7 linked regions of the Mus musculus genome follow. The protein of the gene in region 7 interacts with the protein of the main gene of each other region in a pairwise test. Links are inferred from orthologs where the notes say so. Each region holds a gene or a part of one and is shown on either strand. Other genes may lie near its edges. The genes, in order: Zgpat, Ampd2, Ccdc146, Stk25, Mrpl15, Pmp2 and Ccndbp1.

The links.
Region 1: the proteins of Ccndbp1 (region 7) and Zgpat interact in binary tests that used the Homo sapiens proteins (3 or more experiments, as listed by UniProt). The two-hybrid records come from large-scale screens. The link is inferred for Mus musculus from reciprocal best matches to the Homo sapiens genes CCNDBP1 and ZGPAT.
Region 2: the proteins of Ccndbp1 (region 7) and Ampd2 interact in binary tests that used the Homo sapiens proteins (3 or more experiments, as listed by UniProt). The two-hybrid records come from large-scale screens. The link is inferred for Mus musculus from reciprocal best matches to the Homo sapiens genes CCNDBP1 and AMPD2.
Region 3: the proteins of Ccndbp1 (region 7) and Ccdc146 interact in binary tests that used the Homo sapiens proteins (3 or more experiments, as listed by UniProt). The two-hybrid records come from large-scale screens. The link is inferred for Mus musculus from reciprocal best matches to the Homo sapiens genes CCNDBP1 and CCDC146.
Region 4: the proteins of Ccndbp1 (region 7) and Stk25 interact in binary tests that used the Homo sapiens proteins (3 or more experiments, as listed by UniProt). The two-hybrid records come from large-scale screens. The link is inferred for Mus musculus from reciprocal best matches to the Homo sapiens genes CCNDBP1 and STK25.
Region 5: the proteins of Ccndbp1 (region 7) and Mrpl15 interact in binary tests that used the Homo sapiens proteins (3 or more experiments, as listed by UniProt). The two-hybrid records come from large-scale screens. The link is inferred for Mus musculus from reciprocal best matches to the Homo sapiens genes CCNDBP1 and MRPL15.
Region 6: the proteins of Ccndbp1 (region 7) and Pmp2 interact in binary tests that used the Homo sapiens proteins (3 or more experiments, as listed by UniProt). The two-hybrid records come from large-scale screens. The link is inferred for Mus musculus from reciprocal best matches to the Homo sapiens genes CCNDBP1 and PMP2.

The regions. Positions count from the first base shown.
Region 1 is NC_000068.7:181,363,911-181,368,613, forward strand, and holds the start of Zgpat (zinc finger CCCH-type with G patch domain-containing protein), read left to right. Parts: upstream 1-1,512; 5' UTR 1,513-1,761; coding exon 1,762-2,342; intron 2,343-4,703. Other genes in the region: Arfrp1 (ADP-ribosylation factor-related protein 1), read right to left, coding at 104-186, 401-488, 695-787. UniProt on the Homo sapiens protein: Transcription repressor that specifically binds the 5'-GGAG[GA]A[GA]A-3' consensus sequence. Represses transcription by recruiting the chromatin multiprotein complex NuRD to target promoters.
Region 2 is NC_000069.6:108,073,462-108,077,038, forward strand, and holds the end of Ampd2 (AMP deaminase 2), read right to left. Parts: coding exon 3,558-3,577; intron 3,279-3,557; coding exon 3,152-3,278; intron 3,061-3,151; coding exon 2,897-3,060; intron 2,631-2,896; coding exon 2,510-2,630; intron 2,244-2,509; coding exon 2,070-2,243; coding exon of another isoform or gene 2,037-2,069; intron 1,899-2,036; coding exon 1,788-1,898; intron 1,661-1,787; coding exon 1,454-1,660; 3' UTR 601-1,453; downstream 1-600. UniProt on the Homo sapiens protein: AMP deaminase plays a critical role in energy metabolism. Catalyzes the deamination of AMP to IMP and plays an important role in the purine nucleotide cycle.
Region 3 is NC_000071.6:21,421,721-21,426,272, forward strand, and holds the start of Ccdc146 (coiled-coil domain-containing protein 146), read right to left. Parts: upstream 2,958-4,552; 5' UTR 2,845-2,957; intron 1-2,844. Other genes in the region: protein FAM185A, read left to right, coding at 3,448-3,856. UniProt on the Homo sapiens protein: Essential for sperm flagellum biogenesis and male fertility.
Region 4 is NC_000067.6:93,632,763-93,637,373, forward strand, and holds the start of Stk25 (serine/threonine-protein kinase 25), read right to left. Parts: upstream 2,966-4,611; 5' UTR 2,785-2,965; intron 2,622-2,784; 5' UTR 2,566-2,621; coding exon 2,536-2,565; intron 1-2,535. UniProt on the Homo sapiens protein: Oxidant stress-activated serine/threonine kinase that may play a role in the response to environmental stress.
Region 5 is NC_000067.6:4,782,671-4,787,427, forward strand, and holds the start of Mrpl15 (39S ribosomal protein L15, mitochondrial isoform 1 precursor), read right to left. Parts: upstream 3,057-4,757; 5' UTR 3,008-3,056; coding exon 2,903-3,007; intron 1,436-2,902; coding exon 1,281-1,435; intron 64-1,280; coding exon 1-63.
Region 6 is NC_000069.6:10,180,771-10,185,449, reverse strand, and holds the start of Pmp2 (myelin P2 protein), read left to right. Parts: upstream 1-1,564; 5' UTR 1,565-1,630; coding exon 1,631-1,703; intron 1,704-2,895; coding exon 2,896-3,068; intron 3,069-3,227; coding exon 3,228-3,329; intron 3,330-4,649; coding exon 4,650-4,679.
Region 7 is NC_000068.7:121,013,938-121,017,412, reverse strand, and holds the end of Ccndbp1 (cyclin-D1-binding protein 1), read right to left. Parts: intron 3,456-3,475; coding exon 3,395-3,455; intron 2,901-3,394; coding exon of another isoform or gene 2,750-2,900; intron 1,283-2,749; coding exon 1,236-1,282; intron 1,015-1,235; coding exon 900-1,014; 3' UTR 501-899; downstream 1-500. UniProt on the Homo sapiens protein: May negatively regulate cell cycle progression. May act at least in part via inhibition of the cyclin-D1/CDK4 complex, thereby preventing phosphorylation of RB1 and blocking E2F-dependent transcription.

The sequences.
Region 1 (4,703 bases), about 60 Mb from region 7:
AAAAAAAATTAGAAAATCTTTGGGGTAAATGTGGAACTCTCACAGAAAAGACTATGAGGGGCCATCTAGAGAAAAACAGGATCAAACAGGTAATGTGTCTTACCTTGTCCCACAAAGACTGCAGCTCTTCCTGCCCACCTAAGTCCCAAAACATGAGACGAGCCTTTCCCACGTCCACAGTGCCAACTGGAAAGAGTACAGAAAGAGCTAGCTCCTGACCTTTACACACAAGGTTCCAGCTCTCCCCAGGATGGGACAAACCATTCTGGTACCAATCCTAGGGAACTTGAACACAGAATAGAAAGACAGGGTTTTGACCACTGGTCAGCTGGGTTGTGGACCTTACAGCATCCATCTCTAAGGGACCTCCTAAGATCATATCCCTAAGGTGCCCCCTTACTGTTTAGACCCACGGTAGTGGTGATTTTGGATAGACTCATCCCCTTGTAGTTCTTGTTAAAGCGTGTTTTTGACTGTTCCAGGAAAGTCTGAGGAAAAAAAGAGAGGGGGTTAGATAGCAGCAGCTAGAGTAGTTTTCTGGTGTCCTTCCCACCTATCCCTTCACACCCATGCAGCCATGCACGCCTCTGCCTGTGGCTTGATCTTCAGGAGGCTGGTGACTACTAACCTGTAGCCTTGGGGCGGGGGTTAGATCAGGCAGGGAATGGGAACTGGTGAGAGAGCAGGGACCTACCGTCTTCCCAGCATTGTCCAGGCCCAGGATCAGGATGCAGTATTCATCCTTCTGGAACATGTACTTGTACAATCCCGAAAGCAGCGTGTACATCCTGTTCTGGCACCCTGAGAGATGTCAATGTGTGTACCGGGGGCATCGGCCTCCTGCCCTGCCCGCTTCATCAGCGGTCCGCCTCTCCTGCTAGTTTTCAAATGTGTAGCCTCGCGGATCCTGACTCTTCGCCCCCATCCCGCCTCTTCTGTTAAAATCCCTGACCCTGATTCCCCCGATGCCATCGCTGACCACGTGCTAGACCTGGGCCACTCCCACTTAATGTCATCTTTCATAATGCACCATCAATTCGGAGTCCTGAAAAGCCCGTGGCGGCCTGCTCTGCTCCGCCTTCCTAAGGCTCCTCTTTCCGAACCCTCAACTCAGAACCAGGAAACGCGGCCGGCGACTTAAGTCTAGGAAGCGACCAGAGAGGCAGAGCTCCTGAGGAGGGTCGGCTTCGGCTTCCCGCCGCCGCCGGGCCCACGGAGCCTGGGAACCAGCAGCTGAAGCCACTTCCGTCCCCCTGTTCCAGGACTTTAGAACCCCGGCCCCTCAGTCCAGCTGAGGCCCACCCGTACCTGCTCAGATCTTGGAGGAGGAGCCGCCGCCGCCGCCGCCGCCGCCGCCGCGTTCCTAACCCCACCGACCTCACGCTGACCCCTCACAGTGCCTGACGGAACAAGGAGCGAAGGACGGAGCACGGGCGGAATCGCATCCCAGCGGCCCCCGCGCGCAGGTACTTCCGGCAGCTTCGGCTCTCCGGCGGAAGTGCCCGGCGGAGGGCAGAAGGCTAGCGCGTGAGCTTGGCTGGCGAGGGCGGAAGCCCTTCTAGCCTGCGAGCGCCGGCCGGAGGTGGGGTTGCGGGCCGCAGAGGACGGGGCGGGTGACGTGCAGGTCCCCCTCGGCGGAACCGCGGCCCTCCTCAGGCTCCCTAGCGGTTTTGGGGGCGGCGTTGCCCTGAGTTGTTCTTACTGCTCTTCCTCCTGTTTTTGTCTGCGGTAAAGGTTCCGAATCCTGCCTGCTGGGTCGGGATGGACGAGGACAACCTAGAGACTGCCCTGCAGACCTACCGGGCCCAGCTGCAGCAGGTAGAGCTGGCGCTCGGTGCTGGCCTAGACGCTTCTGAGCAGGCGGACCTGCGTCAGCTGCAGGGCGATCTAAAGGAGCTGATTGAGCTCACCGAGGCCAGCCTGTTGTCGGTCAGAAAGAGCAAGCTGCTGTCTACAGTGGACCAGGAGAGCCCAGCTCAAGAGGATGCTGAGTACCTGGCTTTCCAGAAGGCCATTGCGGAGGAAGTGGAAGCGCCCGGCGCCCCCTGCAATGACTCGGAGACGGCCCCTGGGAGCGAGGTGCAGCCGGGATCCACCTCCTCTGCACTGGAGGAGGAGGAGGAGGACCCAGATCTGGAGGAACTGAGCGGTGCTAAAGTGAATGCCCCCTACTACAGCGCTTGGGGCACGCTGGAGTATCACAACGCTATGGTAGTGGGCGCCGAAGAGGCGGAGGATGGTTCTGCGTGCGTCCGAGTCCTCTACCTATACCCTACCCACAAGTCCCTGAAGCCCTGTCCGTTCTTCCTGGAGGGAAAGTGCCGGTTCAAGGAGAACTGCAGGTAAAACCCTCTGCTGCTAGCAATGAAGGGCACGCAGTCGGGACCACCGCTGTGGCCTGTCGCCACAACTAGTTTGGCACCCAGCAGAGTTGGTAATAGAGTCCAAACCTTAGGTGACTGACAGGCTTTTACAGAAGTGTTCTCCGTGTGTTTACTTAGATTTTTCTTGCATACATCAAGAAGTTTGAAAGAGCTTATGTTGAAAAGATAGGGCAATCCTTCATCAATATTCTTCTCCAAGGTGTAAAACTTTTTTTTTCCCCTTTGAGATAGCAGTGTAGTAACTCTCGATGTCCTTGAATTCTTGATCCGTCAGCAACTCTACTACATCCTGAACGCCTTCAGTTTCCAAATGCTAGGATTACAGGTGGAGGCCACCACTTCTACTGGGCTACATCTCCAGCTCGGAACCTTTTTTCTTTTTTTCTCTTTTTAAAAATTTATTGACTATGCTGAGGATGGAATTAGGGCCTCCAGCACACCAGGCAACCAACTACTGTACACCTTAGCCCCATCCCAGCTCCTGTAGTTTGCATAGTCTTACAGAAAATTTCAAACACATAATCTCTTGCTGACTTGCCCTACCTTCCCCCCCACCCCCCGTGCTACTTGAAAGCACCTTTCACAAGTTACATCTTTTTCTCTCACCCTCAAATACTTCAGAATGTAGCTGAAATAATAATTACTAAAACTGATTTATGTCTTTTTTTTTTTTTAACTCAGTCATCCAGAATAACCCTCTAGTACTTTGAATTTATTTATTTTAGGCCACTAAAATAAAAAGATTTGTTCTATTATAATGGTAGTAGTGAACTAAAATTAGTTTCACTTGGCAGGATTTTAGGCAGGGCTAGAGCCTTGGAAGTCTGAGGGCAGAATCCAGAACCCATTTCTTTGTCCATTTTTCTTTAAGGTTGTTATTATTATTTTATTTTGATTTTTAAAAAAATATATTTTAAAGATTTATTTATTTTGCTGGGCATTGGTGGCGCACACCTTTGATCCCAGCACTTGGGAGGCAGAGGCAAGCAGATTTCTGAGTTCGAGGACAGCCTGGTCTACAGAGTGAGTTCCAGGACAGCCAGGGCTACACAGAAAAACCCTGTCTGGAAAAACCAAAAAAAAAAAAAAAATTATTTATGTATGTGAGCACACTGTTGCTCTCTTCAGACACATGAGAGGAGGGCATCAGCTCTCATTGCAGATGGTTGTGAGCCACCATGTGGTTGCTGGGAATTGAACTCAATACCTCTGGAAGAGCAGTCAGTGCTCTTAACCACTGAGCCATCCCTCCAGCCCCTTATTTTGACTTATTTATTTTTTACTTTTTTAATGTTTTTCTCTAAAGATCCATCGGTTGCTTTTGTCTCATTTTGTTTTGGTAAGGTGGTTTGATACATGGTCTCTATGTAATCCTGGCTGTCCTGGACTACATACAGCTATGAAAGGCCTTGGCTGGCCTTGAACTCACTACCGAAAGGCTGGGATTAAAAGTTTGCACCATGGCCTGACTATTTTAGGCTTTTTTGAGACAGAGTTTCTCTAGTAGTCCTGGTGGATTTCCTGGAACTTACTATATAGATCTGGCTAGCCTGGAACTCAGAGGCATGCACTACCATTTCTGGCTAAGATATATTTTTAGTTAGTGTGTTTGTGTGTGTGTGTGTGTGTACGTGTGTACGTGTGTACGTGTGTACAGGTGCCAGAAGAGGGTATAGGATCTCCTAGAGCTGGCGTTCCAGGTGGTGGTGGTGACCTGCCGAACATAGATCCTGGAAAACAAACTCAGGACTTCTACAAGAGCAGTATCCTCTCAGCCACTGAGCCATTTCTCTAGCTCTATGTATTTACATTTATCTTTAGATTGCGGTGGGGGTGGGGCATGTGTACAGGTAGGTGCCCAAGAAAGCTAGAAGAAGGTGTTGGATCTCCTAAAGCTGGAATTGCTCACAGAAAACATTAACCACTGAGCTCTCTCTCCAGTCCCCAGAGACCACCCATATTCCCTGTTTTGTGGCATCCTCGAATCACTTTAGGCTCTTCTTTCCATGTTACATCTGTACTCTGCAAGTCTTATTTCTCTACTTTTTCTTTAGGATAAGGTCTCATGCAGCTCAGGCTGGCCATGTATAGCCCTTCCTATATAGCCAAGGATGACTTTGAACTCTTAATCTTCTTGACTTCACTTCCTGCTTATACCTCTCAAGGGCCAGGATTACAAGCAAGTGCACATCTTTTGTTGTATTTCATGGTGGACTTGACATGTCCTTGTTCTGGCTCTTTCCTATGCTAGCAGATAGGTGCATAAGTGATTTGTATGCTCAACGGGTTTATTTTACTTATGGACAGGGTCTCTCTATT
Region 2 (3,577 bases), on a different chromosome or scaffold from region 7:
TAGTGGCAAAAAGGTGCTCTGCAAATTGCATCATAGGCACGGGTGGAAAGGGAGTTGCTAGTGATGGATTCCAATACAAGCAGCCCCAGCTCCATGCTGTACAATCTGACAGGTATATCTGTCACCACATCTGCCACCTTTGTGTCAGAATCCCTGAGGGAGGGACCCGGGAAGAGCATTTTAAACAGGCTCCCTAAAAGCCTCAGGCAGACATGTAGGAGCATATTTTCCCATCTACCTCGCTGCCCTAAGAGGCTGTACAGGAGGCAGGAGGTGGGAAAGATGCCATCCTTCAAGCAAGTATGTCAAGAATATACAACATGGACCTGGAGCCTCATGACCTATTCAGAAGAGGTGAACTGGATGAGGCTCAATGGGATCTCCTCTCCTACAGACACCTCAGTCAGTGCGCACATAATCCACTTCACCCATGCCATCACTTCACAGGTTGGCGGCCTACACTGCAATCCAAGCGCTCAGAAGCGTCGGCAGGACGGCCAGTCTATGTTATACAGCGCCCCACACCGTACTCCACCGGAGTGCCTTACCACTCCGCCGCCCTTCCCCCCCCTCCACCAACAGACACCTTCACATGCCTCATTAATTAAATAATCTTTTTATTTCTCATGCACTAGGAAAAAATGGGTCATATGAAACACTGTTCTTCATAGCAAAGGCCTCGGTCTAGAACATAACACAAGAGGCTGGCTGGGAACTGGGTCTGGTCAAAGACCTGGAAACCCCCAAAGAAGGTGCCACCTCCAGAGCTAGTAACAGTTCCAGCACCCTCCAACTGCAATAGCCTCCAACTGAGACAGGTCAGGGCAGCTGCCCCCTCCCACAGGGATACAAGGGGGCTGGTAACAAAGGAACACGTGGGCTGGGGAGGAACGGGGCTGATGGGCAGTGACTCAGCAGGGACAGTGGGCCAGCCCCTCAGGCCAGGCCTCCAGGGCCGTGAGTGAGCCTAAGTCCTGCTCTGCCCAGCGCAGACCAGCTGGAACTTCAGAGGCTGAGCAGCCAGTGCCACAGCAGAGAGATAACGAGCCCCTCCTGTCCCACAGCCACATAAACAAGAGGGAAACTCAACTTGAACTCTAACCAAAGCCTGGGTTCCCGGTGCTCAAGGGGCCAGCCCTACACAACCATCCCAAGCCCCTGTGGACACTGAGGATACCATAGGACAGCCAGACTTCTGACAATTCTGAGATGGGTCACGAGCAGGGCCAACTCTTAAATCTCAGCCACCAGGTACCACCTGAGCCGAGACAATAATGAAGCAGATTCCTGGACTTGCTTTCACTGAGGTGGCCCAGAGGCAAGACATGGTCGAAGACATGCAGGACAGAAACATAGCACGGAGACATGCAGAGACCACATCAGGTGGGAGGGGTCTAATCACGGTCACAGTCAAGTCGCTGAGATGGGACGAGCACTGCACAGACCAGGTGCACTAAGGCCCTGGGCTCATGACAATGCCCACTTCCTCTGGGATGGTCTCCAGCATCTCACTTTGGACGGCCTGTGTGATAAGTGCCAGCTCCTGGCATAGCGTCTCATAGCGGTAGCCCACTCGGATGTCTGGCACGTTGGTACGGCGGATATCATTGCCCTCAGGGCCCTCCTTGGTATAGTTGGGTCCCAGCCAGTGGCTTTTCACCTGCAGGGGTATAGGTAACAGGCAGAGATGCAGGTAGATCCAATTATCACAGGGACAAGGTCAGGACCCCAAATACAAAGGAAGGGAGAAGGGTAATGGCCAGCCCCAAGCAGGCTGAGTTCCATACCTTGTGAGAGAAGCCACTCATGAGCACGCTGTTACGGGCCAGCTCGCACATATCGCAGGAGCTGAGCTTCCACACCTGGGTGGCGATGCTGTACTCCTCCATCAGGGGCTCCTGCACAGGCCAGGTTCCTTGAGGCAGGTATCAGGCCCCTGCCGTCCCCCCCTCCTTTAAGGACTTAGCTAACAGTTGCTAAGCTCCAGCAGCAAGGGGGCAGCACCAACCTAGAGGCACCCAGTATCCCCCAGATACCTGCCCTTGGCTGCCCGCTGGCCTGGGTCTGACCTTGGTGAAGTGGAACTGCAAGGGATCATCTGTGGACAGCGAGACCATGAGGCCACGGGACAAGTACTCAGGGAGAGGGTTCCGGTGGTAGCTGAGGAACAGGCTGTTGTTGCTGAGCGGGGACATGGCGATGCCGATCTGAGCCAGGTAATACAGGTACTGCAGGACGGGGGCCTGGGCAGGAAGGGGGAATGGAGGACTTGTCAGGTGGCCTCAGTGCTGGGAGGGCATGCGTGCTGGCTCTGGGGCTTAGGGGAAGAGGGTGGTCCAGGCGAGGACTCACATAAGAATGATGAATCCTGGGCTGGGCTCCCCAGCTAGAGGATGGGTGGGAAGAGCTAATTATATTGGGAAGGAGGAATCTGATCTCATGGCTGGGGGAGGAGGAGGATGGGGAAGGCAAGCAGCTGCACGTGGAGGCTGGGGGTGCAGACCCTGACCTTGCGCAGGAGCAGCCCGTGGGAGATGTTCTCGGCCAGCATGAAGGCTGATACCAGGTGGTGGATGGGCCCGGCCTCCCCACAGTGCGGCCTCAGCACGAACGTGTGGAAACCTCTCTGCCTGTGGGGTATGAAGACAGAGTCAGATCCAGAGCCTGGGCACGCCTAAGCTCACCTGACCCCAGATCCCACATCACTCATATGTATGCCCTCCAGTGAGTGACAGTGGGGAACTAGGAGAGAAGACAGGGGCAGAGCCTTAACGGGAAAGGATGGAAAATTAAGTCTAAGGGCAGAGAAAGAGCCTGTCAGTCCAGGCACAGGGGCCATGGGTGTCAGGGCACCATTGACCTCAGCTCAGGAAGCACGCACCCCTGGGGCACGCACCTGCGCAGATGGTTCAACATAGCCATGTTAGCGAAGGTGTAGTACAGGTAGTAGGCATAGGGAGGGTTGTCCTCCTCCACCCAAGCTTCTGGGAGGGGACTCTCCAGGTTGAAGACGTGGTTCTCTGGCTTGGACTCATCATCCACGCTATCAAAACCATCCACCTGGCGAGGAGCTGGTGGTCAGACCTAGAGCCACAGCTGGGGCCAACCCCAGCTATCCTGCCCTGTCCCAGCCCATGCCACCACCGCTCACGTGCTCCAGAAAGAGGTGCAGCTCCGGGTGGCTGGCAGGGTGCACAGTAGCCTCAAACAGGGGCAGAAAGATGTTCTCCAGCATCTCTTGGAAGTTGGCCAGCTGGCCCTTGGTGCGGTACACATCGCTGCGGGGAGACAGGACACAAACAGATGCAGGTCAGGGCCAGCAGCAGGCCAGCAAGAGTCAGAGCTGTCATGAGAGGCACCGGAGTGCATTTGCACCACAGTGGGAGAGTGGGACATCCAGACAAACCAGGCTGGACAGACTGTGGCTTGGCCTCTCCTGGCACTCAAGAGTACCTAGCTTGGCCACTGAAGGCTGGGCCATCCCAGTAGAGCAGGAAGCAGGCCCTGGCCCCTTGTACACAGCTAGGGAGGTTCCTCCTCCTCCAAGGGACACTCACAAGAGGCGGGGCACCTGCAC
Region 3 (4,552 bases), on a different chromosome or scaffold from region 7:
CTAATCTGGGTTGAATTGGCTCATCTCACCAGCAGAGAAATAATTTATTAATAAGTAGTCCTACAAAACAAAAAAATCTTGTACATTTGTAATTTAATGCTCTCATCCCCCCAGAACCACAGTTTTGGGGGTCATAATGGCTTCATCTTGTTTTTCTGAATCTTGTTTCTTCAGCTGTCATGCAGGGAGAAGAATAACTATCCTTCTTAATAGCTTTTTGTGAGAAAACCGTGAGATGGTACACGGGAACATACTTTGAAAACTATATCACTCACTTTTACAGGTAGACAAGTTTGATACTGACTAGCTTGTTAGGCATTGGTAACTAATATCTTACGTCACTCTTAATCTCTACCAGATTCTCGGGTTCCACCCTCATAAAAGCAGGAAGGTAGTCTTTCAGTACGTTTTAGTTCCTTTGCTTGAAAGTAATGAAATAATGACCGTGTCACAGATATCATGATGGCTCAGTTGTCAGTTCTATTAAGTTATTTTTCCTCAGAAAAGGAAAAGTGACTATAGGAACAGGATGATTTATTAAGGATGCATATTCGGCCCAAATATATGCAGCACGTCCACAGCAAATCAGAGCGCAGTTTCAACTTGCTTGTGCCTCTTTCAAATGTCAAAGTATGACTCTTGGGTTTTCATTTAAAAAAGATAACTTGAAGGCTCGTCTGAGTACGTACGTCCACATGGGACACAAAGCCAATGGCGCTACTCACTGAGTGAGCACTTGCTTATCATAAAGTCTATCTTATAGCCTACTGAGGCAGGAGAGAAACACGGGAACATGATGGAGAACTGGGAATAAAAGGAGCCCTCATTCCAGAGCCTGACCAGTGTGTCTCACCAGCTGAAGATGAAGAGTTCTAACACAGCTGTCAACATTATCGATGAGGATCACCAGTCTCTTACATAGTGATACTTTCAAGTTACATTGTTGAAGGAGCAATGGATCACATGTAAGGCCTAAATATATGTGTTCTTTCTTCTTTCTCAGCTATAAACCAACAGTTTTCTAGAAATCTTACCCAAAACCCTACTTCTAGTAAAGGACATGTTTTAATTCCCTTTTACAATTCTTGTGACACACAGTTTTATTTTAGGACTGTAACCCAATCCAAGACATCTCTAGAGTAATCCTATAATCTCACTTATTGAAAAAGAAGAAGAAGAGAAAGGTTTTAAAGAAGTTTCTTAGAGAAATCCTTTGAGGCATAACATGAGAGTCAGCAAAAGAGTGACTCTGGAGCACTTCTGCTAAGTCACTTAGGGCAAGCTCAAGGGAGCTTACACCTGTGCTCTTGGGTGTGTCTCTTTCTCTCCCTGTGTGATCAGTCACCTCTAGCAACCCCTGTGCTCTTAAACCCTTGTTTAAAATCTATTTTAAATCAACCCTCTTTCACATTAGCTTCTCCCAACATTTTTTTTCCAGCAAAGTCAAGGACAGGTTTCACCTTGGTGGAGGTCCTCAAGGATAGGGGCCTTCTTCTCAGATGGCTGACAGCAGGGCAGGGCTGTCACTGCCACCACCACTACCATAGTCTTCACTAAGAGAACAACATGGACGCTGGGGAGGACTTTAGCCTAGTCTATCTATCCATCTGTCACTTCAGGTTCAAAGAATTGGGGTCCCATATTTGGCTGAGAGTTTTGATCTTTAAAGGTATCATTTTATTTACTTATTGTGTATTTTATTTGTCACAACGTTCTCCGTATATAGTCCAGGTGGGCCTCAGATTTGAGATCTTTCTGCTTCAGCTTCCCAAACTCTGAAAACTTACAAGTGAACACCATCACACTGGACTTGCAATTAGTTAAATCTGTATGTAAGGAATTTAGGGAATTATTTGTAGAATGGGGAGAAGAATAGGCAAATATGGCTGAAATAATGTCCACACCCCCCATTTCCCATTATCTTTACTGCCTACTGAATAATAAAAAAAAGAGTTAACTTATAGAGTTATTTAGCACAGTCTGTCTTATATCAAAACTGAAGAAACATTTCTTGTGCCATAGATAATACAACAGGACCAGGAAAAAATTCTGACATCCCCTAACAAGTCTTATGATCCAGAGAGAGAGAGAGAGAGAGAGAGAGAGAGAGAGAGAGAGAGAGAGATTTTATTTTACCATTAAGGCCAAGGACCAGTTGCAGGGAAAGAGATCAAGACTGTCCTCTAACCAAGTTCAAATGTCTCCAAATCTCTTAGCAACGTAGACATATGCCATTCCTAAAATACTTTGTTTTGTATACTGTGCACTGCTTTGTTGTCCATTGTTTCATTTGATAAATGTGGTAAAAACGAAAAAAAAAACTTCTACACAAGACAAGGAAGATAGTGTCATCATTTTATAAGCAAATAGTAAAACCCAAAGGCATCCAATGACTGGCCTAAGATTACTACTTACAGTTAAGAAAGAGCCAGAATTCTAACACTTTTTCTTTTCCTTTTTTTTCTTTTTTCTTTTTCGAGACAGGGTTTCTCTGTATAGCCCAGGCTGTCCTGGAACTCACTCTGTAGACCAGGCTGGCCTCGAACTCAGAAATCCACCTGCCTCTGTCTCCTGAGTGCTGGGACTAAAGGCGTGCGCCACCATACCTGGCTTCTAACACTTTTTCTATCTAGTATTTTTTACCTAAGTGGGAGTTCCCTTAAAGGACAGAGAAGGGAGAAAGCAACAGAACGTGTCTGTCCTCTCATGCTAAGGTCTCTTGTGAGGGGGATTCTCTATTCCCAGGGAATCCACATTAGTTTGGTGACCTTTGGTTCTAACTACCTAAAGAAAGTATTCCTAACTTTGAATCTGATTCCCATCTATAAACATGCTGTTTCTTACCCTTTCTTTTGGTCCTGATCCTTGTTTAAACTCTTATTTTTCTCCGTGTGTTTTGGTCCCTGGGGTCTCACTTCAAAACTTCACCCTCTCCTAAGAGTCGCGTCCTTGGTATCCAAAGTAACCACAGCTGAGTTTATCCCGTCCCTTCTACTCTTCCTATTGGTCAGTTACATTAACTTTTTTTCTTTCTCTGCTCTCTTGGCCAATGGGCTTGAAGCAACGGGAAAGCAACGAGGGGGGAGCGGGGGCTCCTCTACCAATCGGCTGTCAGTCTGTGTATTCAGCGCACTGTCTCCTGGGATATGTAGTTTCACAGTTACCAGAACACCTTGATGTTTGGCTCCTTTAAAACTACATATCCCGATGGCCTCCGCCAAAGGGGCGGAAATAGGTGACTTGTCCAGGTCAGGGTTTCAACTAGGCTCTTTGAAGTTTTAACTTTCCTACCGGGATTTAAGGCGTTAAGTACTGTGCTGGGGGCCTGGCTCGTTCTTCCTTGGCGGAGCCGTGCATGCTGTCCCCTTCGTGACTGACCCGAGGCAGCTCGTGGTTCTTGTGGTCCCGGGACCAGCGAGCCAAGGCTGAAGCGTTCCAAGGGAGAGCATGTTCGGCCGCCTCCCTCCTTGCGCGTCCCGAGTGCGGGCGGGCGCCTTGGTCGGAGCTCTCGGGGCTCGGACTTGCGGCTCCAGTGGGGCGCAGCGGCAGGGATCAGCGCCCGATGACTCTGGGGCCGGCCTGGCGCGTGGGGCTCTGAGGGAGTGGACGCTGCAGGTGAGCCCGTTTGGGCGACTGAGGGCGCGGCTCCCTTGCCACCTGGCCGTGAGGCCCCTGGATCCCCTTGCGCACCCGGATGGCGACCGCGTGCAGGTGGCGGTGTGCGGCGTGGAGCACGTGGCGCGCGGCCTGGACAGCCTGCAGGTCAAGTATGATGCTGATCGGCAGGAGATGGCCATTCTGTCGGACGACATCGACCCCCAGGCGTCGGTGGAGGTGAACGCGCCCGTCAAATTTGGCAAGTGAAGTGAAAAAGGGTTTGGGTCACAAAACTAATAGTGTTTAAGCGTTGGGTTTCCAATTAAGGAGGAAAATTAAAGCCGAGTGGAAGCTTGTATTGGAATAATCTGAGTCTAATTACATTGTGGAGCCATTAGCATCACAGTCATTAGCATCGTTCAGGGTTGAGGTTTCTTGATAACTATCCAGTGGTTTGGTAGCCCACATCTCGGGGCTCTGGTCCCTCGTCAGCTCTATGTATAGATGCTTCCAGCTAATCTAGAAAAACAAAAACAAAAACAAACGAACAAAAAACCTTGCTTTCCAACAGGTACCCAGGTTGGTAGATGTCTATTCATTTAGGCATAAGTAAATTCTCTGCGAATACAAACTTTGAAGCAAGACACATAGTTAAGACTGTCTGGGGAAATTCATAATAGTACCTGCAAAACGTATTTCTTAGGCATCTGAGTCCCGTTATTTTATTTCCCAGATGCAAACCGCTGAGCACACATACTTTTCTAGAAAGGGTTCTGGGGCTCTCATTCTTCCTGGAACTGAAGGATGGTGTTGCTGATGATAGCAATAGCACCGTTTACCTCTTCTAAAATTATTTTATATTAACCCTCACAGTTGCTCGGTAGGGTGGATGCTTTTGTCACCGTTTCAGATGAGGACATTGAAGTAAAGGAAGTATAAGATACATACTGTGACT
Region 4 (4,611 bases), on a different chromosome or scaffold from region 7:
TGAGTTCCTTAAGCTCCACTGGCCAGGGAGTAGGGTTTGATCCCAGCCTCACCTGCTTAAATAAAAAGCCAAGAAAAATTCTCAAGTGTGGCGGATAAGACAGACACTTTAGCTATTTCAAGATCAGCACTGGATCCAAGCCAGATCAGAAAGAACCACTCCAGGCCATGTGCTCTAACCACACTCATCAGTGTGGAGACCACCGATAAAGGTAGACGTGATCAGTGTGAAAAGACCTCAGCCTCTGTCACTTCATGTCTGGGCAGTGACCACTTGATCCCCTGCTCAAAGCCAGCCCTGAAAGCCAGGTGCAGAGCAAGGGCCACATAGCAGACCTTTTCCTGCCTGTTTTGTTGTTGTTGTTATTGTTCTGTTTTGTTTTTCTGCCTGTTTCTGCTCCAGCAGGCCCCAAAACACTTTTTCAAACCCTTCTTTCTCTAACCACTTGGCCTCTACTGTCTCCTCAGATGCTACAGCTCCACCATGTGTAGTTTTGAGACACCTTGAAAACCATCTCAAAGATCTCCAGAAGGTCTAGTTGAGGACTCAAGGCAATACAGTCTTATCACTGGTTCAGTCCAGTGCTTGTAGCCTAAGAAAGCCTGTTAGAGAGAAGTCAAGCCATCGGCTAACTACATGACCCAGGACCACTATCCTTCCAGTTCTCAGTAGCCCTTTTCCTACTACTCAGGCTCAGACACCACATCCTCCCACACTGCTCAGCCATACTGAGAATTCTTAATTGCTCTCTTCTGGGGGAACCTAGAATCAGAACTTGTCCACTACAGTAGCCGAAGAAGGATACTTCAGGCCAGGTATTCACTCACACTGCCTCAGAGGAAAAGAAAATAACAGATCCCAAAGCCAGAGTTCTAGACTTTGTGCAAGGAAGGTGGGAACCCTAGTCTTCAAAGTCTACGTTTTTTGGGTACCTATAGCTGTGAACCAGTCAGCCTAAGAAACAGTATGATAGGAGCCTTTCTGGCATGGTCTCTGTATTTACACCTTTGAAGCAGCCCTAGTCCCAAACCCAGCCAATCACAGACAGCTAGCATGCTGATCTGGGTGGCTCAGATTTCTCTTCTGGACAGAATGTGTTATGAACCATCACTCAAGCCATCTAACTTACTCTGAACAACTGAGACCCATTCGCTCTCCATTCCATCCTAGGGATATTATACTTACAGCCTCTGGCCTTTCTGCCAACATGCCTGCTGTGTATCACCTCTCCAAAACAAGAGGAACAACTCAGCACACATCCTCCCTCATCTACCACACACAGTCACACAGTGCTTGCCCAGAACCATCTGGTCCTTCCAGAGATGGGCAGGAACAGGCCGGGTAAAAGGTAATCTAAGGCAGAAGCACAGGCTACAGGGGGAAAGTACAAGCCTTATCACACAAAAGGAGCAATTTCATAGGACTCTATGGCAGCCATCTTGGGAGAAAGCAGCCCTACAAAGGTTTTGTGTCACTTTCAGAAGCCAAGTATGTCTAGGCTGGACACAGGCCCCTAAAAAGACAAAAAGGGTGTTTTCTCTTTGAGAAAGGTCCCCTAGCCATCATTACTGTACTCCTTCGCAATTCATAGCTCCAATTTGTCATCCTGGGACCTTCATAAGCTAAGCTTAAGTCTCTTAAAAATAAACTAGAGGCAGATTTTTTTTCTCTCTCTCTTAGTATGTTATATAATTAGAGGCGAAATGTCAAAATGTATTAAAAATGTGTTAGCTTAATTCAGCATCAGTTAGCAAGCTCGGGATCCCATCTGTGACAGCTGGGCCAAAAGCCCTCCCCAACAGCTGTGAGTAGTCTTCCAGGCTGGTTTGGTTTCCTCCAAGGAGCCCTGCCTCCAATTCCTGCCCACAAGCAGCGGACGGACATGCTTCCTGTCTACACAACCAGTTCTCAAGGATGCAGGGAGAAGGGGGGTCAGGGTGGGGTGGGGTGAGCGGCTGCACTGTCCTCAGGAACTGATTCCTTCACTGTGCAACTGTCAAGCCTAAGCCTATCTAAACCAAGCCCTTAAAACGCAAATCCCACAGCTAAAGCCAGAGGAAAATCAGCCGCCAAGGCAGCTCATTCCACTTCACTAGCTGTCTGTCATATTGCTCTGAAATAACAACACCACAAATAAAATAAAGGCGAGAAAGGGGGTCCAGAGAGCAAACCACCGAACCCTCTGACCCTACGCAGCCCTCATCTCCTGTGCGGTCCCGTGTCGGGGTTCCATCCCGTTAGCCAAGGAAGGTGGAGTCCATCTTCTGGGAAGGTGCTCCGAGCCTGGGTCAAGCAGGTTGTGCCCAGGGCAGGTTCCTGCACCTGCCCCCAGCAGCTCCCGAGCAGAAGCGCTCGCCCCGCAGACGTTCCCTGGGGCTCACGTCTTCCGCAGGCGCTGGCTCGGCACAGGCCAGAGTTCCAACGGCCCCAAGACGCGCCCCGAGGCAGACGGCCTCCGCCCCTCTCCCGCCTCAAGTGGACAAATCCGCTCCACAGCGAACCACGGACTCGGGGCACGCCGACGCCCACACTCACCTGGTGCGCGAAGCCCCGGAGGTGAGCCATGTCCCCGCTGACGTGACCAGTCCGTCGCAGCCGCTCCGCCCGCTCGCCTCAAGCACCTGCGAGAAACCGCAGGCCGCTCGGTCAACAGTGGCCAGGGGGACCCGTTCCGTGGCGTCCCTCCACCCGCGACCTCCGGTCCCGCGCCCAGGGCCCCCGACCCGCCCTCAGGGCGTGCCCGGCCTCCCCAACATTCAGGCGAGGCCCGCTGGCAGCGCCCACCTCCGGGCGGCTCCATCTCGGACTCCGGGCCCGCTTCGCAGTCCCCACGGCGGCTCACACCGCAATTCGGTCTCCCGGAACGCCCAGGCCTCCCAGCCCGTGAGGTGGAGGCAGCGGCTCTGAGCAGGGCGTCGTGGCGAGCGCGAAGCTCTGTGGGACTAGGAGTCCCGCAGCCCGCCCCGTACCCCGGGCACGCAAAATTGAGACTACAAGTCCCAGCAGGCTGCGCGGTAGGATGAGGTGTTACGCAAGTGCTCCGGGGCCCTGATGGCGACAGACTACAAGTCCCAGGAGAACTTGCGGTGGGCGGTCAGTGGAGAGGCACAAATGCGCCACAGATTGGATCCGAACCTTGAGATATGCCCGAGCTGGGCTGCCCCTCCTGTCAGGCCGCGCGGTGACGGGTGCAGCGCGTGCGCAGTTGCCTTGACGTTTTCTAGGCTTTTTTTTCTCTTTTTTTTTCAGCCCTCCTCTCATTTTCCCAGTTCTGTTTGCCAAGCTTCTGAGACCCATACTGTGTGCCTGGAGTGCGAACCCACATTACCCTCATATCCTGGTGCTCCAGCTTTAACCGCAGTGTGACCTTCTTGTCTGCGCTTAGCAACACACACACACAAGGAGTACGCCCACGCGCGCCCTTAGAAAAGTCGCCCATTGTTGGACAAGTGCTTCTCTCCTGCCTCAGTTTCCCTATCTGAAAAGGTTTAATCGTAGGTCCCCAGGACATGACCTGGCGCTGGGAAGAGTTGTGTGGTCCAGCGGGGATTTCCAAAGGTTGGAAGATGCCTTTCATCCTGTGAATTCAGTATGAGTGACTAGTCAGCAATGTCCACTTCTATGCAGTCTCCTAGTGTTCCACGGGAGGGAGATTTGGCTCCATACTGTGTCCATTCCTATGACGGCTCAGTGCAAACCACCATAATGTCCCTACTCCCCAACTCATAAAGGCTTGTTGTTTCTGTTCTCTGGTGGATTTTCTTCCTGGGCACCATCCTGGAACCTTAAACCTTGCATGCAAGACCTTGCATCAGATTCTTTAACCGCCAAATTTTACTACATGTTGATTAGGTTTTCTTTGCTGTGTTTTTCCCCAGAAGAAAATAGACTTCCAGCAAACAGCCCTGCCCTGGATCCTGAAGCACCTTGGTTTCCTCCCCTCCCCCGCCCCAAGGCATCAACAATAGGGGCAAATATTTTTATTGCCCCTGAAAAAGATCATCTGTAGGATGGCCTTCAGCCTACCTATCCCTCCTATAGAAAAGTCTGAAATTAGGCAAGGCCAACTCTATTAAGACTTATTTATGTACATATATGTGTATGTTAAATGTGAACAGGAACCTACTGAGATCTGAAAAGGCCTGGATCTGGAGTTGCAGAGGGTCATATGCTGAATGGCATGGGTGCTAGAACTAAATTCTGGTCCTCTGGAAGAGCAACAAGAATTCTTAATGATTGAGGAATCTCTGTAGGCCTTTATTTTTGATTTTTAAGACAGGACCTCATTCTGTAGCCTAGGCTGGCTTAAAACTCTCTATGTGGCCCTTTTTGGCCTCAAATTCACAGCAGTTCTGCCTCTGCCTCTGCCTCTGCCTCTGCCTCTGCCTCTGCCTCTGCCTCTGCCTCTGCCTCTGCCTCTGCCTCTGCCTCTGCCTCTGCCTCTGCCTCTGCCTCTGCCTCTGCCTCTGCCTCTGCCTCTGCCTCTGCCTCCCAAATGCTGGGGTTATCCATATGAACCATCAGACTTCATGTGAAAAGCCCTACTCATGAGATTAAACTTCGTATTGGTTTATTGCTTTGTTCTTGGGTCAAATAGATATTGAAGAGTTG
Region 5 (4,757 bases), on a different chromosome or scaffold from region 7:
CGACCTAAATCAATGAGATACTGTAGTCTCCTGAGACTCAAAGGCTGATACTGGTGCCTGAAACTGCAAAGCAGGAATGTAATAATTAGAAAACACCAAGTAACCTTCCTGTATCCTCTTCAAACCAGCACGCTTTCCAGTGTTTTCCTTCATAATTTCTGATGGTCTAAAATAAATTTATAAGCACAACACAAACACATAATAAAACACCAGTGCTTCCTTTGGTCCACTAAAAAAAATTTACCTCTCTAAACATTTACTTCACTCATGGACACAAGTAACTCACAGTTTAATTCAAGATAATATCATAAGGTGCTGGAGAGATGGCTCAGCATTTAAGAGCACTGACTGCTCTTCCAATGGTCCTGAGTTCAATCCCCAGAAACCACATGGTGGCTCATAACCATCTGTAATGAGATCTGATGCCCTCTTCTGGAGTGTCTGAAGCCAGCTACAGTGTACTTACATATAATAAGTAAATAAATTTAAAAAAATAACATCATAAAATAAAAATGGTACCCACTACAATGTGCCATAAACATATTATATATGCATACATATTATATACATAATGTAATATATATATATATACATACATACATAATATATATGGGGATGTTTGTGTATATGTATCTAAATATATCTATATTTCAAATATATACCCATTTAAAAAGGTAATATACAGGCTGGTGAGATGGCTCAGTGGTTAAGAGCACCGACTGCTCTTCCAAAGGTTCCAAGTTCAAATCCCAGCAACCACATGGTGGCTCACAACCATCCGTAACGAAATCTGATGCCCTCTTCTGGAGTGTCTGAAGACAGCTATAGTGTACTTACATATAATAAATAAATGAATCTTTAAAAAAAAAAAAAGGTAATATACATGGAAATAAAAATACATATGGCAAGATACATTTACCTTTTATATATAAATATAGATACAGATATATATAGATATATATAGATATGGAAAGATACATATACATTTTTCAATTGTTAATCATCTAAGGAATTATGACAGCAAGCACTATCATCAGCATGTTGTTGGTCTGAGTAGACTCTGTACAAATGTGCTTTTCTGGGGGCATAGTCATACAGTGACACAGACAATAGAGGGTAAGTTACATTACTAAAAATTATTCAAAGCAACAGTACCATAAGTGTGTTCCTAAATAAACATAAGGTATCTACCAAATTACTTGTGTACTTCTTAGTGGAAATTACGATTTGTACTTAAAAAAAACAAAAAACAAAAAACAAAAAAAAAAAAACAACCTTACCTATGTCCTTCATTAAATCCATATTTTGGGATTCGTATGTAAAATGGAGTCTGCCCTCCCTCAAAGCCCAGCCTTGGCCGGGTTCCTCTCTGCCTTTCTCCTTTATGGCCTCTGCCACACTTCCTACCTCTTCTCCGATCTCTTGGACGTCTTTCCTACAAGAAAAAGTGAGTTTTAAGATCTTCAGATACATTTCTGAAAACTGTCTCATCTCATAGCATATTCCATATTAATGCTGTTTATCCATTGCACCAGAGGTAAAGTACCGTGTGCCAAGCCCTGCTCTAGCTGCGTGCTCATCTTTATACTCCACCAACATAGTTCTCTCAGAATGTAGCTGATCCTAGTAACCAAAATACAAGGTGAAACACAGGGCAAAGTTCTAAGGAAGGGATGGGATCCAACAGGAATAACAAGCTCTACAATAAGCTAGGTCCCTGTAGTGATTGCTATCTGCTAGGTTGAGGCAGGAGGATTCAAAGTTCAAGGCCTGCCTAAGCTACAAAAAAAGGGCAAGGCCAGCAACCCCCAATTTTCTGAGAGTCTGTCTCTGAATAAAGCATTTAAAAATCGGGAAAGGGAACCAGATGTGGTGGCGCATGCCTTTAATCCCAGCACTCGAGAGGCAGGGACAGGAGGATTTCTGAGTCCGAGGCCAGCCTGGTCTAAAAAGTGAGTTCCAGGACAGCCAGGGCTCTACAGAGAAACCCTGGGGGGGGGGGGGGGGGGGGGCGGTGAGAGGGCATCGGGAAAGGGTTTGGGATTACAGCTCAGTGGTATAGTGTGCTTGAACAAACAAGCTAAGGGCCTAAATTTAGTCTTCAGGAAAAAGCAGCTGGAACGGAAAAAGAAAATCCTAGAACTAAACAGCCAAAACGAGGCTTGAGTGACATTAAATGTTTTATTTTTAAATTAATCGTAAATATGTAATTAGATCACATATGGCTAAGGAAAACTCCAATTTTTGCTAGGGACACATTCTAATTTCCTAAATTCCTAAAAGATAAGCTCCTGGCAACTTGTCCCCCTCCACAGAATTGTAAAACTGATGTGAAATGATTAATTGCTTCGGTAAAGTTCCTCATGTAGCTGTAAGTTCCCCAGAAATAAAGTAATTGCGACCTTTCAAAGCCCTCCACCTTCTACCCCTTTAACCTGGGCCTAAGGGGAATTGTGGTTGGCTGCACTATAACATTAAAAAATTGGCTAATTACAACTGGATAGAGTCGGGTAGTCTTTCGGTGTTCTCTAACTCCGTAACATCTTTCCCTTAATTGACTTTGTCAACCGCCCCCCCCCCTAAAAAAAAAGCCGTATATTAAGTTACTGTAAAAGCCGAGCAGCCGACCCACAACAGTTTTCTAGTTGCACCCTGGGTTGCACATTGGCCAGCTGGAATGTAGAAAAAACACTGGGATTTTTATAACGACGATAGGCACTTGCTAAGCAGTTCAGTTTAAACGCAATTTTGGATGAATCGTCTGCAGTTCCCGAGTGTGTACCCTCCGCCTGCTTAGCATCCTTAACACTGGGCGCACGCGGAAGGGAGCCAGGCGCCCGCACGCGTCCATCGCCAGAGTGACGCGGCCCCTGCACTCCCCGCACCGCCGCCAAGCGTTTACCCGTTTTCTGGAGTTAGGACTGGGCTTCAGGTTGGCCAGGCTCACTCTCGGCAAGGACCGCAGCAGGTCCAGGCTGGTCCCGCAGCCGCGCGCCGTGCCAGCCATGACCCGCGGTGCTTCAAGGGCGCCCAGGAAGCGGCGTAGACTCCGCGTTGCTTTACGGCTCCGCCCGGCCCCTGTCGCGCTGCAGCGGCCGTACTGCCCCGCCCCTGTCGTGCTGCAGAGCGACCGCATCCGCGTCGGTAGGCTATGTCTTCCAGCTTCCAGGCTTGATGTCTTTTTACTTCGGGGAACTGCATCAACTTTTGTGAGATCATGCTTTATCCTCTGGCTTTGGTACCATTTTGTGAACGAAAACTGTTCTCTTCTGCCCTGTAATGACTGAACACGCTGTACGGTAAAAGTGGGGCCTCATGAAGCGAAAAGTAATCCAAAATGATGTGAACAGGTTCAAGCTTTGAGACTCTGGTAATTCAACTGTTACAGTGCCTGGCTCTAGAATTAATTGTCTAATTAGGTTCAACCTAATAGCGTGCCTTGCAGTTAACGATGGGGGGTGGGGCATACTTAGCTCCTGGGGTATGCCAGAAACTGAGTTAAAGTTAGCCTTACTAGATTCATATAAACAACCACGCTAGAAGCGAGGTGTGGTTTTATGCCTATCAGATCGACCCAGCTGTCACAGCAGATGGTATAGATAGGATTCAAAGCTAATGAACTTAAACTGCCAAACATATATTTAACTCTCCAAATTAAATGATTTTTAAAACTTGTCTTAATACAAGTAATATAGAAAACAATGTGTTCATTTTTATATTCTTTTTCCGTTCCACTGTCTTGCTGGAGAATTGCTCCTACCAAGCTCTATCAGTTATATAGTGAAGGTGAGACAATTTAATAAGCAGCTGTTTCTAACTCAAATAAACCTTTATTTTTATTTTATTGATTCATTGTGAATTTCACATCATACACTCCAGATCCACAATCCCTCCGTCCTTTTTGCCCTTGCAAACCCCCCCCCCCCCAAAATAAAAATAAAGTTTAGGAAACCTCATCGTGAAGCTGTCGTGTGTCACAGTGTGTCCTACAGTATACCCTTTTGTCCATACATTATTACTTGCAAATGTACATTGCAATGAGTCATTGGTCTGGTTCTAGGTCTCTGGCTTCTGCTACACCAATATTGGATCCTCACAGGGACTCTATTCGGTTATCCTGCTATTGTCCTAGGTCACTGAGATCCTGCAGCTCTGGATCAGCAGGACTAGCTAGCCCTTTCACATGTTCCAACAGGTTACACATAAGGTAGATATCGGGGTGAGCTACTCAAAACCATGGATTTGGGCCTGGGGCCAGAGCCTGCTGGTCATTCAACATGGAAACCACGACTTGGGGTATGAGGATGATTATAGGAAAGGCAAAAAGAAGATGGAAGAGACAGATATGGGAGGGCTACAGGTCAATACCACCACTAGCAGCAAGTTTACTTTCTCAGTGTCTTTTAAAGGCTAGCAACAGAAAGCATGACCAATTCCAGGAAGTTAAACAATGAACATGAACATTTATGTGATAAGTGTATGGTACACACTATCCATGTTTGACTAAGGCCATTTCCTTCAGGCTTGGACAGTCTCTCAAGGACATATGTAAAAGCAGAGGAACTTGGCAGGATATAATGCATGTCTTAACTAAAAGCAAAAGCATGTTAGCAGACTCATTCATGATTAATTACAAGCAAGAACTCAGCCAACATTAACTCTGGAAGTGCTCCCCACATGTCCCCTTTTTATCTATGCAAGCCAATGAAATTGAGGAAAGCCAAAATACTGTGTTGCATTTCTTGTAAGGATACATT
Region 6 (4,679 bases), on a different chromosome or scaffold from region 7:
GGTTTGTGTGTGGTGTGTGTGTGTGTGTGTGTGTGTGTGTTTGTGTGTTGGAAGAAGCTAGTCCATAGTCAGGATCTAGCACTGGGGAATAATGCTAGTTTAAATCTGGACTTTTGTTTTAGTTTTGGAATAAGTTGTCTAACTTCAAGATGCAGTTTTCCTCATTGTCAAGCTGTACATAACAATATTGCCTGTCTCTACTGGGTCTGAGAGGATGAAATGAGACAATCTAAGCAAATCACATGGGACTATCCTACACTGAGCTCTCAGAATTCATTAGGATTATTTGGTAGGAAATCATCTCTCTATAAATCTGTGGACTTTAAATAAAATGCTTTAAATTCAAGGTTGTCATAGAAACTAAGAATTATTATCCTCAGGTATGCTTTTAAAAAGAGATGAATCTAAACCACAGTCAAAGGGCACGCTAGAGTGCTGCTTCCCATCCTGATGCATGAATACAGCGTCTGTGCTCTACAGTGGCAGACTGACTTTCTTGTCTGCCTACTCTGCCTGCCCAGAATATGTAAACTATGCCAAGCCTCCTTAACTTCTCAATGGGCCCTCAAAGTGTGGGCTCCCATTTCCCTCCCACAGCATATTTGAGACACTTATTACAATACTCATAGACTGTCCCCCCTTTTAAGAATTCTGTGACAACCCTTACCCTACGCCACCCCACCACCCAAAAAGTAACAACCTAGCTAGAGAAACATGAAGAGAACGCTTAAAACTTGTCATAAAGATGCTCCAATGAGTATATGAACAACACAAACTGGGTTTGTTTCTCCTTCTCCTTCTCCTTCTCCTTCTCCTTCTCCTTCTCCTTCTCCTTCTCCTTCTCCTTCTCCTTCTCCTTCTCCTTCTCCTTCTCCTTCTCCTTCTCCTCCTTTTTCTCTTCTCCTTCTCCTCTTCCTCCTCCTTCTCCTTCTTTTTCTCCTCCTTTTTCTCCTCCTCCTCCTCTTCTTCCACCTCCTCCTCCTCCTCCTCTTCCTTCTTCTTGAGGGAGGGAGTTGTAAGGAAGGGAAGCAGACCTGGGAAGACTGAAAGTGAGTGTGATTAGGGTGGTATTATATGAAATTCCCAAATAATCAATAAAAATTAATGCAAAACAAGAACTCTTAATCGTGCTGAGTCAGAATTAAAAGTCAGTAAGATACCTACACACATGCAAACGTGTGCGTGTGCACACACATCCACACTCACACACAGACACTCAGACACACACACACACACACACACACACACACACTCATATAATATATAGAAGGGCTTAAGCATGCCTATCAATGTAAGATGAACCAAAAATATCTTAAAGGTTCAAACAATACTTTCAGTTGTTTTTGTGGTTTTGGAAACACAAGGACATTGTGTAGAGGATTATTTCACCCATGGATAGGCAGTGTACGACTTAAGAGCCATTCATCACTCAGCCTGGTCGCCGCCTTTCCTCATTGGGTCTCAGGGTGAGTCACATGCTTTGGGTTTCTTTGAAAAGAGCTGTGCAAGATCTCAGCATCTCCCAGGCATCTGCTGCATCCCACCAGGAACTCTACTGAACTCTCTCATCATCTCCCAGGCATCTGCTGCATCCCACCAGGAACTCTACTGAACTCTCTCATCTGTCACAATGAGCAACAAATTCCTAGGCACCTGGAAGCTTGTCTCCAGTGAGCACTTCGATGACTACATGAAAGCTCTAGGTGAGAAGTGCTTTATGACAAATGTCCCTTGAAAGACAGATACACAGGGTTTTCTTCCAATATTCCCCCTCCCCCGAGTCTGGGGAATGTTTCGTGGGCTGAGTGCAATCTTCTGTCTCATTCATAAAATTTACTTCCATTTCACTGGCAATAAATAAATTAGAACTTACACAAAGCTATTTAAATGCATGGAACTTGAAGACAGTTTTGCAGGTTTGCCGTTGGAAATTTGGGGAAAACTATTAGAATTTGAGTCAATCCATATTCTGGCATTTTCTGAAAGCTTGTTTAATAGAAATTAATGTGGTCATAAGATTATGAGTTGAATACTAGAAAGCCACAATTTAAAATTTTAACCTTTATCCAAACTAAAAATTTTGTCTCTGCTTTGAGTTTGTCTGTAATTAAATGATCATCTAAGTGTGTGAAGCTTGACAGATAACACATTTCCTAGATGAGGAAGCTTGAAAACTGTGGAAGTTGTTGAGATCAAAAGAGCTAGTTGGATGCTGTGAGTTCAAACTCCGTCCCACCAATGCCTGCCCATCCTAGTGTTGAGCAGGGACTACAGACAAGAGTGTGGTGGAGACTTTGTTCTGTTTTGTTCTTCTTACCAGGCATAGTATGAACTACAGAATGTCAAAAATATGATTCTACCAAGGAAATGGGGGGAGGGGGTGTTCTGTATATCCGTAGCTACTTATGGACAGAGAACGTGTTATAGCAAGGTATGTGGATGGGAGATAGTTAGGCTGAAAGCAGCTATAATGTTTGTAAATACAAACTCAAATGTCTCTAATGCTTTATACAAATCTGAAATGACTTATTTTATGGTGAGGATACCACTGGACATGACAGAGTGGACAAACTAAACTTTTGCAACTGTGTAGTTTTATGCTGTAAACTCTGTTGGCATCACTGTTGTAACAGTACACTAAAATGCTTGTGTCACCAACATGCATTTTCTCTCATTGTTGAAACTTGGGAGGAAGCCCTTGGGAGGAAGCCCCACCATCTACTCATTGAAGGTATCACTGAATAAAGAACTTTAAACCTATGGACATGGCATCTGTCTCTTAGATATGCCTCCTTAACCAACCAATCAATCAATCAATCAATAAATAAATAAATAAAACAAAAAACAAAACAAACAAACAAAAACCCCCCAAAACTGACATACCTTGCTTTTCAGGTGTGGGGTTAGCCAACAGAAAACTGGGAAACTTGGCCAAGCCTACTGTGATCATCAGCAAAAAGGGGGATTATATCACCATTAGAACGGAAAGTGCCTTTAAAAATACAGAGATCTCCTTCAAGTTGGGCCAGGAGTTTGATGAAACCACAGCTGACAACAGAAAAGCCAAGGTAATTTGTAATACTGTTTTCCTGAAAGCTGGTCCAGTGGACTACTGAGAGCTAGGATGATCCCTTCTCAGAGTTAGGGACCTGGGGAATGAATGTGACTTGATGAGACATCTGTCATGGAAACTGAGATAAGCCAAGCATGTGAACGTGTCTTTGTAGAGCATCGTGACACTGGAGAGAGGCTCCCTGAAGCAAGTGCAGAAGTGGGATGGGAAAGAGACAGCCATAAGGAGAACGCTGCTGGATGGGAGAATGGTAGTGGTAAGAGCATTTCCAGTCCTCGCAGCAGAAATAATGCCGTATATATTCATTGGCTGTGCTTGTTGCAAAATGTCCCTTTTTCTTTGGAGTATAAATAGACAATAACACCAAGAATAAAGTCAAGGGTTAGTGCTTGAGTGAAAAACCATTTTTAAAAATTCATGTTTGAGTCCTACGTGTGCTAGGTCAAGATTTTAAGTGGTAGTATCTAAACAATAAAGTTAATGAAAATATGGATGAATGTCACTTGTTTAAACTTACTGCCAAAAAAGCCTATACTTCAAAAGTAAAATATAACCCTGGCGTGCCCAATTATAGAATATTGTAGTAAAAACACTTTGTTTTTCCGGAGTCCATAGGAACTTATCCTAAACTATACCAAAAACACAATTTAAGTTCTAAGCTCTGGAGACCTTTTAGTTAGTAGATCAGAATGAGGCAAAGGAGTCCACCAGATGGACTCTAGGGGAGTTTTAAGACTGTGAGTCTGTGCTCACTAATTAACACACACTGAATATACATACAGTCCTCTAGTGGGTTGAGTATTTCTATTACTGTGCACTGGGTTTAGCTCTAGCTCCACAACAGATGTATAAGAGTCAATTCAACACAAGGTCCCTTTTACGGATCAACCAAGCCAAATCTCTCAGGGAGTATATTTGGCTGCTCTTTGGGTAAGGCAAATGTGAAAGCCATTTTGATGTTAGTCACTATTCTCCTTGTGACCAGAGCCAGCTAAAAAGCATCTTCAGAGAGAAGAACTCATTTTGATCTGTAGTTAGAGACTGTCCATCACGGCAGGGAAGACAGGAAGGCAGATGCTTGAGGCAGCTGGTGGTGCACATTTGGGGGAAAGGAAAATGGACACTGGCACCCAGCCCACTGCCTCTGCCTTAGGCTAACGCATGACTGGCATGTCTCTATGCTAGCATGTGTCAGGTGTTCAGGTCCCCCACCTCAATTACCCTGGCGGAGACTGCCCCTCACAGACATGCCGAGAGGTTTGGTTTGTCTTTGTGATAGATGATTCTAACTCCCACAAAGCTGACAACCAACATTGCGCATTATAACTATGACAATTTTATTGGATTTAAATGCATCTAAATTGTGCATTAAAAACTGCTGCTTGATCATGTATAATAACACAGTTCAACTCTAATGGTTTTTCTCGAGTTTCTATGTTGTAATTGTGAACTACTAGAAAGTTAGCATCCGGGTGTTTTCTAAATGTAATCTTGTGGGTTCATTGTAAACTGCTATATTATTCCAAATGTCCTGTTCTCTGACTTGTATTTTAAATGTCCAATCTCTTCTCTTCAGGAGTGTATAATGAAGGGTGTGGTCTGCACC
Region 7 (3,475 bases):
GTTATGCCTTGTGCTGGCAGCCAGACTTGGTGATGTAAGTTACTCAAGTGGTGCTGTTTTTGAAGGTGTGAATGTGTCATGGGAGCAGCTGAGGCTTGGCAGTTTGTGGCAGGGTTAGAGTTCCTGAACTCAAATTAGAGTAAATCCCAGATATAGAACATGGATTTACTTGCACTGATGGAGTGTGGTTTTGCTTTGTTCAGATTGTGACTGTACCCTGGTTCTTCCATCTTGAAGTAAGAAAGTATTTAACTTATTTTTGATTTTACAGGAGCCCACAGTTTAGAAACTGAATTTAAAAAGAGATTTTAGGTTTTAAAATACACTTTTTAAGTCAGGGTCTTTCTGTGAGCTCTGGCTGTCCTGGAATATACTATGTAGACCAGGCTGGCATCGAACTCAGAAATCTACCTGTCTCTGCCACCCTAGTGCTTTGATTAAAGGTATATGCCAACATGCCTGGCTTATGATAGAAGATTTTAAATGACACTTCAGAGGACACATTAAATGACACATTTAATCACAGCAGGTTAGCAATTTATTGAGATCATTAAAATCTTAATAAAACAATATGCTTTACTGTAGTAAACTAGAGAACAAGTCAACTTCCTTAAAGATTTCCAAAAAACAGCTCAGAGCACAAGTTTATAGAAATTTGTGTCCAGCACAGAAGCATAGCACACTGTATGATTGGTGGATAACTGCAATCTCTCCTAGCCTGGAGTCTTGGTAACAATCTCTTCTTAAGGACAGAGGCTGCCTTTCTATCGAGCAAACACCCTGTCAAAGCTCCACTTCTAAAAGCAGACGTTAAAAAAACTTAAAAAATAAATAGGTAAAGCAGACACTGGATCGTGGGTGTGAGAGAGAGGGGAGAAAGAAGAGTAGGGATTGGAGGCTCACAGTTCAGCTGCACGCTGAGTGAGCGCCTTAATTCTGTTCATGCAATGGTCAACGGCATTAATGAGTAAAGGAATCCAGCTATCTCCTGGGTGGGGGCTCACGTGACTTGCTCTGGAATAAAACAGAAAAAAAAAAAAATCAAGTTAACACGGCGTGAAGGGAAAAGCATTCCCAGGAGGCACAGAGAAGAAACTACAGTAAGAGGGATTCCCCTTCACAGACTGGCTGCTCCACACCCCTACCCATACCCGCATGCTAATCTGAAATGGGGCAGAATAGCTGGGCAGATGATTTTAGTCTCAAAACACACAGGGAGAAGTCTTCATACTTACTTTGTAATTTCAAGAGCCTTTATTAAAACAGACACCAATTTCGCAGACTAGAAAAGGAACAGAGATAACATTCACTCTGAGCCATGGCACCAATAGAAAGGAGAACTTGAAGATACAATTAATGATGATAACAGAATCATTTAAAAAGAGCCTTAAAGTGGGTGGAGGAAATGTTTTGGTGCTCTAAAACCATGAAGACCTGAAGACCTACCTGAGTTTGAACTTCCAGCACTCATGTTTAAAAAAAAAAAAAAAAGCCTTGACTGATAAGGGCTGATGAGATGGCTCAGTGGGTAAGCACGCTGGCTGTCATGACAACCTGAGTATGATTCTTGGGACCCACATGATGGAAGGACTCCCACAAGCTATACTCAGGTCTCTACACATACAATGACATACAATGTGACTTACATATGCATACACAATCAATCAATCAATATATAGATGGATGAATGAATGAAGGAATGAATGAAATTTAAAATGCTGACTAGGTTCTTTTCTGTTTAACAAGATCTTAGGAACACCACTGGCATAACATTTATATGTTTTCAACAGTTTTAATTTCGTTTGTTTTTTGAGACAAGGTTTCTCTATGTAGCCCTGGCTGTCTTGGAACTTACTTTGTAGACCAGGCTAGATTCAAACTAAGAGATCCACCTACCTCTGCCTCTGGGATGCTGGGATTAAAGGTGTGTGCTACCACACCCAGCTCATCTTTAATATTTTTAATTTGGAACAAGGATAACCTCAACCTCGCAGAAGAATGGTGAGTTTTAAGGCAGCCTGAATTACACACAGGAAGAATTTCTTTTTAAAAGGAGACCCTAACAGTTATAATAGCTCAGGCTCGGAGGCAGAAATGGCATACGGCCCTGTTTAGAACTTTAAGAAGCTCAAGACAGGAAGACGGGAAATCTCAAGACCTGAGGTAGAGCCGTGCTTAGCACGTGTCAGACCCTACTCTGAACCCAGCCATCATATCCACAACAAAGAGATAGCGTGGAGATGGATTACGGCAACAATATAAAATAATGCACATAAGCACATACAAATTTATAAATTACTTCATATGATACTGTATTTGGGATCACTGATAGAACATCTTGTTAAAATTTTATTTCTCAGGAATTTAGTTCTTAAAAAGTTAATGCCAAAAAAGTTAATGTTCCAAAGAACCTGCCATCCTGAAGAGTTCTGCACATTAATCAATCTTCCACCATCTATTTTATCAAATATTGAAACCAATACATCTTGTAAAATGTAAGTTGCTTGGCAGGATCACCTCCCTGCCAGTTACATCAGTGAGATGAACTGGAGGTCATTAAAAACAAACAGAACTATAAAGTTACAGCATTTCAAGAATACAATCAAATCACAAATACATATGTATATTATACATACAAAACATATATTGTGGTACTGATTCAGTGTAATTAGATCTCATGGCTAAGAGTGTTTGCAAGCATAAGGACAAGAGTTCAAACCCAAGCACACATAAAAAAATGACGTATGACCATGCGTGTATCTGTTACTCCAGCGCTGTGGGCACAGAGGCAAGGCGATCGCTGGGCTTGCTTGCTGCCAGACCAGCTCCAGGTTCAGTGAGTGAACTGTCTCAGGGTAATCAGGAAGAGTGACAGAGCCTCTGAGTGTCCACACATTCACCTGCACACAAACATGGGCATACATGCCTCTCCTCCCCAGATAAATAAAAAATGTTCAAAGATTGCTCCTTAATGCACTGCTTTCTAAGATGTTTGGACTTTTTTTCAAACAATTATTCAAGTGGTTCTAAAAGAATTAAAATATCAGAGGCTAGAGAGATGGTTCAGTGATTAAGAGCACTAATTGCTCTTCCAGAGGTCCTGAGTTCAATTCCCAGCAACCACATGGTGGCTCACAACCATCTGTAATGGGATCTGTAACCCTCTTCTGGTGTGTCTGAAGACAGTAATGGTGTACTCATATACATAAAATAAATAAATAAATCTTTAAAAATAAAAAGAATTAAAGTATCAAAGCACATGGCTATTATAACAAGAGTCCAGCTAGTATTTATCAAGCCAAATACAAACAAGAACTATGAAGATATTTTATCTGCACACAAGTTTGGTGATGATATAAATGCTCTATAAATACTAATGAAAGCTGGTACTTACACTGATCCGCACAGTGAGGTGGCACACAGGTGGGTATATGCTCAGAACCAAGTCATCCACACTAAGAAGCAGACAGACGGA